2 linked regions of the Saccharomyces cerevisiae S288C genome follow. The gene in region 1 interacts genetically with each later gene. Each region holds a gene or a part of one and is shown in the gene's direction. Other genes may lie near its edges.

Region 1 (5,308 bases):
TCCGAATTTCTCAGCAATTAGTACTTGCTGACTCACTAATTTATCATATTGCAGTAAAAGCACATAGTCCTTCCCATCTTCTATCGTTTTCGAATCTTTTAAATGTTGTAAATCGTATGTTGTACCTTTGCCTCCATAAATCAAGCTCACTTTGGATAATTTCCCGTTAGAACTCAACGGATTGAAATTTTCTTTAGAAAGTTCTAGATCATGCTTTTCATTCTTGTTATCATAATATGAAATTGATACATTGCCTGGATAATTAGAATAAACTGAGTATCCCATTTCTTTAACCAATTTCAACCCATTGTTGTCAAAAGATTCCTGAATGTATCGATAAATAGCTGCATCACCCTTCGTTCCGGATCCATGAGGCATGCTACTAATATATTCCAAATCTCTCTCAAACTTTGCCAAATCCACGGATTTTTTGGCATATTCAAAAAGTATATCGTGTTGAGAAAACATCCCTTTAGATCCTGATGCCTTTTCGTTGAATAAGTAGCCACTTGACAAGACATAATATGCAATAAATGACATGAAAATGATGTAAAAGAACCTTCGAAGTATAAAGGGATTTCCGATTTTACTTAAGTAATAGTCAGCTTTGTCTGGAACGAATTTTGATATTTGTAAGAGTGGATGAATGATGTTTTCCATTAAGGGTTCCAAAATTTTTTCCTGAAACCCAATTGAAACCCTCTGTAGATGTGTTCTTTTGTGAAGATCATCGTGAGGGTCCTCTATATCAAATTCATAAGAAGGTGGTTCAGGTGGAGGCGTTATATTAGTTTCTATACTGTTGTCGTTAGAACTAGGAGGAGAATCATCAAAACGCTGGCTCATCAACAGATTATGGGACGACGACGCAGTAGGTATAGCATTTTCATGTTCAAAGTTTGTAGTTGACACTGGTTGATAACTGCTCCTCATTAAAATTACTTGATCTCAATACCCGGGGGTATTATCTTGGTTTGCAAATTAGTTACAGATTTCAAATAACCCAAAGCTTGATGTATTTCTCTAGTATTGAGAGGCGTTTAGGAAAAGAACAACTTTAATGATGCAGGAAGTACTTGCTTAACTAGTTCTTGCCTGATGCCGTAATTTTATCTACTAAATTTCCAAGAGTTTTGGAGGCTTAACTATTGCGAAATAGAGAGAAAAAAAGAAGAATCCTAATTAGTAAGTATGGAAGAGATTTATTAAACGAGAAAGGAAGTGAACCAAAGAAGAAACGGAAATAAATCATACAGTATGAGTAAGAACAGGTCATCGCTACAGTCTGGTCCACTTAATAGCGAGTTATTGGAGGAGCAAAAGCAAGAAATATATGAGGCGTTTTCATTGTTCGATATGAACAATGATGGGTTCCTCGATTACCACGAGTTGAAAGTAGCAATGAAGGCCCTGGGATTTGAGCTACCCAAGAGAGAAATACTTGACTTAATAGATGAATATGATAGTGAGGGGCGGCATTTGATGAAGTATGATGATTTTTATATTGTAATGGGGGAAAAAATATTGAAGAGAGATCCGTTAGATGAAATAAAAAGGGCATTCCAATTATTTGATGACGACCATACTGGGAAAATAAGTATTAAAAACTTGAGGCGTGTAGCTAAAGAATTAGGAGAAACTTTGACGGATGAAGAGCTGAGAGCGATGATTGAAGAGTTTGATTTGGATGGTGATGGCGAGATTAATGAAAACGAATTTATAGCTATTTGCACCGATAGTTAATTATGACTATATATTTAATCTATAAAAATGATTTGTAACTATATTAGTATACTCCCGTGGGTCTCTCGTTTTCTGTTTTAACTTACATCTTGCCCAAGGATGCACTTAAAAGTGAAAAAGCCAATCTAATCCTGCAGGGCAACAATAAGAGAAGACAATAAAACAAAACACTGAAAAATGTCATGGAGGTATGCGTTAAAAAACTACGTTACCAGCCCAGAAACGGTAAACGATGATACAGTCACATACTTTGATGATAAAGTGTCCATAATTAGAGACTCGTTTCCTAAATCAGAGTGCCATTTATTGATTCTACCACGAACTATGCAGCTGAGTAGAAGTCATCCTACTAAAGTGATTGATGCTAAGTTTAAGAATGAGTTTGAATCATACGTTAATTCTGCGATTGACCACATCTTTAGGCATTTTCAAGAAAAGTTCCGAATAAAGAAGAGTGATGATGACAAAGACCCCTGCTGGGATGACATATTAAAAGACAAAAACAAGTTTGTAAGAAATTTTGTACAAGTTGGGATACACAGCGTGCCTTCGATGGCCAACTTACATATACACGTCATATCCAAAGATTTCCATTCGGTAAGATTGAAGAACAAAAAACATTATAATTCATTTAATACTGGATTCTTCATTAGTTGGGACGATTTACCATTGAACGGAAAAAATTTGGGCACTGACAAGGAAATTGAAACTACGTACCTGAAAGAACACGATTTACTTTGCTGCTATTGTCAGCGAAATTTTAGTAATAAATTTAGCTTATTGAAAAAGCATTTAGAACTAGAGTTCAATAGCCATTTCGAGCTTAAATAAGGCAAGCTTTCTCGCATTTCTTTTTGTTACTGATATACACATACCTATACATACACATGTCTTTTTAACATCATAATTTTTGGTATTCTATAGTGCCTTCCAATTTCTTAACTTCAGCTACTTTTCTTACGGCTTTCATTAAATCATCAGGGTTGATGTGATCACGGTCATCTCTTATGGCGAAAAAACCTGCTTCAGTTGCACAGTTACGAATATCAGCACCATTGAAACCATCACTCATTTTTACAGCAGCCTCGAAGTCAAATTCCCCTGTTTTTTTGACTTTTGCAGTATGAATTTTGAAAATTTCTAATCTGCCGGCCTCATTTGGCAATGGGATTTCAACTTTCCTGTCTAGTCTACCGGGCCTCAACAAAGCAGGATCTAAAGTATCTGGTCTATTCGTAGCCATGATGATTTTAGTCTGTCCAAGATTATCAAAACCATCCATCTGGGTCAACAACTCCATCAACGTACGTTGAATTTCACGGTCTGCTGAAGTACCTTCACTGAATCTTCTACCACCAATAGCATCCACTTCATCCATAAAAATGATGCAAGGTTCGTGTTCCTTTGCATATGCAAACATTTCTCTAATAATACGAGCAGACTCACCAATGTATTTATCCACAATACCAGACGCTGGAGAGAAAATGAAGTTGGCTCCAATCGTAGCAGCAACTGCCTTCGCTAGTAAAGTTTTACCAGTACCAGGGGGACCATATAGTAGCACACCCTTTGGAGGTTTGATACCGACCCTCTGGAAAATTTCTGGGTTCTTCAATGGTAATTCTATAACCTCCCTTAATTCTCTGATTTGCTCAGTCAAACCACCAATACCATCAAAAGTGATTTCACCTTGTTCAAAACTGGTCATATTATACACCAGTGGATCTGTCTCTCTGGGCAAAATTCTCATTATAGTCAAAGTGGTGATATCTAAGGTGACTCTCACCCCTTTCTTTAATTTAGAGCGATCTACCGAATTCCTAACTCCGACAATATAACGTGGGCCCGAAGAGGCCTTCACTATATATTTCTCTTCAGATAATTCCTTCATGACTTCGCCAATCAATTGTCCAATACTTTGCAAAGCTTTTATGTCGTTTTCAGTCTTGTCATATAACTTCTCTAGATCTCGTATATTTTGACGGCGCTGCTTCAATTGATCATCATACCTTCTGTGTTCTAGCAGCTTTCTCTTGAATTGATTCAAGGCCTTGTTATGGGCCTCCTGTTCAGGATCCACTCTAGAAGGCTCCTCTTCATGATGTTCTTCCGTTTCCTGTGGTTGTTCTGGTTGTTGTTCGTGTGACTGTTGGGTGTGATTGTCGCCGGACGTTTCCCCCAATCCTGCTAATAAAGGGTCCTGTTCTTCACTCATTCTTAGTTATTAATATCTTTGCTTCGTCTGTTATCTTTGGAACCGGTGCGAGGTACTAGATTTAATTTACTTCACTATGGTATTTCAAGCTTCCTTTCCCTTCGGTGGCAAATTCCACTATTTGAAAGGTCACCCGCCTATCGCAAAATTTTTCACTTCTCATCACTATATTGAAATATAACAATCAAGCACTTTACGATGCAACAGAAAATGCTGAACGCTGTGCTGACCAAAAGTTCCCACCGTTGATAGCTCCCCCCCCTATTGTCGTAGTCATGTCAATTCAGGCTTTTGTCTTTTGCGGTAAAGGTTCCAATTTGGCTCCCTTCACCCAGCCAGATTTTCCATTCCAAACGCAGAACAAAGACAGTACAGCTGCCACGAGCGGTGACAAACTTAATGAGTTGGTCAATAGCGCCCTCGATTCAACTGTCATAAATGAGTTCATGCAACATTCAACGCGCTTGCCCAAGGCTCTTTTGCCCATCGGTAATAGACCTATGATTGAATACGTCTTGGATTGGTGTGATCAGGCAGATTTCAAAGAAATCAGTGTGGTCGCACCCGTTGACGAAATCGAATTAATTGAAAGTGGACTGACTTCGTTTTTGTCCCTAAGAAAGCAACAATTTGAACTAATATACAAGGCTTTGTCAAATTCCAACCACAGTCATCACTTGCAAGATCCTAAGAAAATTAATTTCATCCCTTCGAAGGCAAATTCTACAGGTGAGTCCTTGCAAAAAGAGCTTTTGCCTAGAATCAATGGCGATTTTGTAATCTTGCCCTGTGATTTTGTCACAGATATACCTCCACAAGTCTTGGTCGATCAATTTAGGAATAGGGATGATAATAACCTAGCAATGACTATCTACTATAAGAACTCTTTAGATAGTAGTATCGATAAAAAGCAACAGCAAAAGCAAAAACAACAGCAATTTTTCACTGTTTATTCAGAAAACGAAGACTCAGAGAGGCAGCCAATACTTTTGGACGTTTATTCTCAAAGGGACGTCACAAAGACAAAATATCTACAGATCAGATCTCATTTATTATGGAACTATCCAAATTTAACAGTATCCACTAAGTTACTGAACTCATTCATCTACTTTTGTTCCTTTGAACTTTGCCAGTTGTTAAAATTAGGACCTCAATCAATGTCAAGACAAGCTTCATTCAAAGATCCATTTACTGGAAACCAACAACAGCAAAACCCTCCTACTACTGATGATGATGAAGATCGCAATCATGATGATGACGATGATTACAAACCTTCGGCTACATCTATCCAGCCTACCTACTTCAAAAAAAAGAATGATCTCATCTTGGACCCAATAAACTGTAATAAAT
Region 2 (3,934 bases), on another chromosome or scaffold:
AGGTTACTTGGAAGGTGTTAAGACTAAGCAAAAGGCTATTGTCAAGGTTACCAACATGGAATTCCAATATCCAGGTACCTCTAAGCCACAAATCACTGACATTAACTTCCAATGTTCTTTGTCTTCCAGAATTGCTGTCATTGGTCCAAATGGTGCTGGTAAGTCTACTTTGATTAACGTCTTGACTGGTGAACTATTACCAACCTCTGGTGAAGTCTACACCCACGAAAATTGTCGTATCGCTTACATTAAGCAACACGCTTTTGCTCATATCGAATCTCATTTGGACAAGACTCCATCTGAATATATCCAATGGAGATTCCAAACCGGTGAAGATAGAGAAACCATGGACAGAGCTAACAGACAAATCAACGAAAACGATGCTGAAGCTATGAACAAGATCTTCAAGATTGAAGGTACCCCTAGAAGAATTGCCGGTATCCACTCCAGAAGAAAGTTCAAGAACACTTACGAATATGAATGTTCTTTCTTATTGGGTGAAAACATTGGTATGAAATCTGAAAGATGGGTTCCAATGATGTCCGTCGACAACGCTTGGATTCCAAGAGGTGAATTGGTTGAATCTCACTCTAAGATGGTTGCTGAAGTTGATATGAAGGAAGCTTTGGCTTCTGGTCAATTCCGTCCATTAACCAGAAAAGAAATTGAAGAACATTGTTCCATGTTGGGTTTGGACCCAGAAATTGTTTCTCACTCCAGAATTAGAGGTTTGTCTGGTGGTCAAAAGGTTAAGTTGGTCTTAGCTGCCGGTACATGGCAAAGACCTCACTTGATTGTCTTAGATGAACCTACCAACTATCTGGACAGAGATTCTTTGGGTGCTTTGTCTAAGGCTTTGAAGGAATTTGAAGGTGGTGTTATTATCATTACTCACTCTGCTGAATTCACAAAGAACTTGACTGAAGAAGTCTGGGCCGTCAAGGACGGTAGAATGACTCCATCTGGTCACAACTGGGTTAGTGGTCAAGGTGCTGGTCCAAGAATCGAAAAGAAGGAAGACGAAGAAGATAAATTCGATGCTATGGGTAACAAGATTGCCGGTGGTAAGAAGAAGAAGAAGTTGTCTTCTGCGGAATTGAGAAAGAAGAAGAAGGAAAGAATGAAGAAGAAGAAGGAATTGGGTGATGCTTACGTTTCTTCTGACGAAGAATTCTAATCTTTTTGATCACTGCTTTCACAGTTTTCTTTAAGATTTTTATTGATCAATAATTTATGTATATTTTAATTTCTATGTTTTTGTAATATTGTTTATTTTGGTAAAATATAGACGCAACTTCCTTATTATAAAGAAAGGCATTATTTAAAAGAAAAAGCGTTCCATTAGTCAGACATCTTTTTTTTTCATACATTCTTAAGCTCAGGCAAATTGAGCATTGCCTCATACCCTTTTCGGTAAGAGGGTAACGAAAATATTTTTTTGGAAGAATAAAAATAGGTGACGGATCATAGACTAGGAAGCTTTAAAACATGATTGAGCGTAATATTATATTCCTTCTAGAAAAGATAAAAGAGCCAAGACCTAAAATTTTTTCATCCCTGTTCTATTAAAATTGTGGAAATGAGGTTTTTGAGGGGATTTGTATTTTCTTTGGCTTTCACTCTATATAAAGTAACTGCCACGGCAGAAATAGGATCTGAAATTAATGTGGAAAATGAGGCACCACCTGATGGTTTATCCTGGGAGGAGTGGCATATGGACCATGAGCATCAGCTAAAAGATTACACTCCAGAGACTTTCTTCGCGTTACATGATATCAAGAAGAAAGGATTTTTAGATGAAAACGATATTCTATCTCTCTACGGGTTGAACCGTGAAGAAATTGTGGGGGCTGGTGATGGTATGGGACAACACGATGAATCTGAGAAAATTGACAATGAAATGGCTAAGCGTGTTGTTAGCCTTATTATGAGGTTATTGGATGTTGATGATAATACCAAAATCACCAAGGAGGAATATCTACAATTTGCTAAGAGAGGAAACAAGTTCCCTGACCTTGGCGTTGGTGTAGGTCACCACTCCGATTTTGAGCTAGAATATGAAATTCATCACTGGAATAAGTTTCATAAGGACAAAGATCCAGACGTTAAAGTCGTTCACAAAGAAGACATAGAACATGAATTGCTTCATCATGAACATGAAATTGAACATGAAGAAGAAATTCAAAGAGGCGCTTCTAGAGCTACTGTAATAACTGATGACGAACTAGAGTCTAGAATAGAGCTGAAAAATATTCCCGAGAAATTCAAAAATGGAATTTTTTAATGGACTTGGTCAAGATGAATAGTTGAGACTGAGAAAATATTCAAGACACTATGTATGTAGTCAATTAGCATGTAGTAAGTAATCAAAGCACTTAAAATATATTTTTACCATCGCATCGTTGTGATGCCTCTCCTTTGTGATTAACTATCTACTTTAAACGTTCTATTTTCTATGTTCTAATTACGTATGTATTGGTCTTTTCTCTCCGATGGTAACAAGAAGCGTTTCGGGAAACAGTGGCACCTCCTTGTCCCTTAAATGTCGAACTTTAACAGTATAAGTACAAAGTGAAAAAAAAAAAAAAATGGAAATATCTATGATAGTGATATGATAGAAGAGCTATTTGAATGCTATGTTGTCATATTTAGCCTTACAAAAGGGAAAAGGCAAACACAGTCTTTTGTTATTACTATAGGAAAGATAGAATTGATATTAAAACAGTATGAAGTTATTGCATTTATATGAAGCGAGCTTGAAGAGAAGGCCCAAAACTACGAATGCGATAATGACAGGTGCGCTATTTGGAATTGGTGATGTTTCTGCTCAATTGTTGTTTCCAACATCCAAAGTAAACAAGGGTTATGATTATAAAAGGACAGCTAGGGCTGTCATCTATGGTTCTTTAATTTTCTCCTTTATAGGTGACAAGTGGTACAAGATCTTGAACAACAAGATTTATATGCGTAACAGACCTCAGTACCACTGGTCTAATATGGTTTTACGGGTAGCTGTCGATCAATTGGCGTTTGCGCCGCTAGGTTTGCCATTTTATTTCACCTGTATGTCCATCATGGAAGGTAGATCATTTGACGTAGCTAAGTTGAAAATAAAAGAGCAATGGTGGCCTACACTTTTGACTAATTGGGCAGTTTGGCCACTTTTCCAAGCGATTAACTTTTCTGTTGTTCCTTTACAACATAGGTTACTAGCTGTTAATGTCGTTGCAATATTTTGGAACACTTACTTATCTTATAAAAACTCAAAGGTTATGGAGAAAGACAAGGTACCTGTTCATTATCCACCCGTGGTCGAATAACTGGATAAGAAATCCTGATTTTGAAAATATTTGGAATTCAACTAGCATATTTATCAGACCTTGTTCCTTGGGGTACTGGAACAGCATATACCTAATAGACTTTCGGCAGAGAGCAGACCAACTTCATAAATATTTGAGTCACCAAAGTTGGCTAGCAATCTGCTTTTCCTTTACAGATGTGCTTGGTCAGGAACAATTTATTTAATTACATTCGTACTTCTTTTATAGAGGAAATAGTAGCTAACATTTCACTATTGCGGTCATGCCTGTTGTTCTTCAGCTACCGTTTATGCAAAGGTGTTTAATTAGGTGTGAGACTTAAGTGGGCCTTTTAGTACCACTGTGGGTTCTGGACCTTTATATAATATTTCATTTTTTCAAAGGTTTTTTCATATGCCGTTAAAAGAGGTCAAAACATAGACCCGAGGAACATATCTTGTAAATCGCTGCGTTATGTATGCATATTGTACTCCTACCTTCGTAACTGGAAAGAATCAGTCTGAAAGTTTATTGAGCCTGAAACGGAGCAAGATTATAGTTGAATGTTTCTTATTCGGTGTTGATAGTAGATGATGACCAAAGCTTTTTTTAACAAACTACCGTTTGAGGTATTC

What was found. Genes that interact genetically often act in the same process or in processes that back each other up.
Region 2: mutations in HNT3 (region 1) and SSP120 impair growth when combined (synthetic growth defect), as found in Saccharomyces cerevisiae (one large-scale study listed by BioGRID).

What each region holds. Positions count from the first base shown.
Region 1 is NC_001147.6:809,751-815,058, forward strand, and holds HNT3 (DNA 5'-adenosine monophosphate hydrolase), read left to right. Parts: upstream 1-1,920; coding exon 1,921-2,574; downstream 2,575-5,308. Other genes in the region: TRE2 (putative zinc metalloprotease), read right to left, coding at 1-933; CDC31 (centrin), read left to right, coding at 1,258-1,743; proteasome regulatory particle base subunit RPT4, read right to left, coding at 2,645-3,958; GCD1 (translation initiation factor eIF2B subunit gamma), read left to right, coding at 4,234-5,308. UniProt on the Saccharomyces cerevisiae protein: DNA-binding protein involved in single-strand DNA break repair, double-strand DNA break repair and base excision repair.
Region 2 is NC_001144.5:638,738-642,671, forward strand, and holds SSP120 (nucleobindin SSP120), read left to right. Parts: upstream 1-1,579; coding exon 1,580-2,284; downstream 2,285-3,934. Other genes in the region: YEF3 (translation elongation factor EF-3), read left to right, coding at 1-1,177; SYM1 (ethanol metabolism protein), read left to right, coding at 2,727-3,320; CQD2 (Cqd2p), read left to right, coding at 3,890-3,934.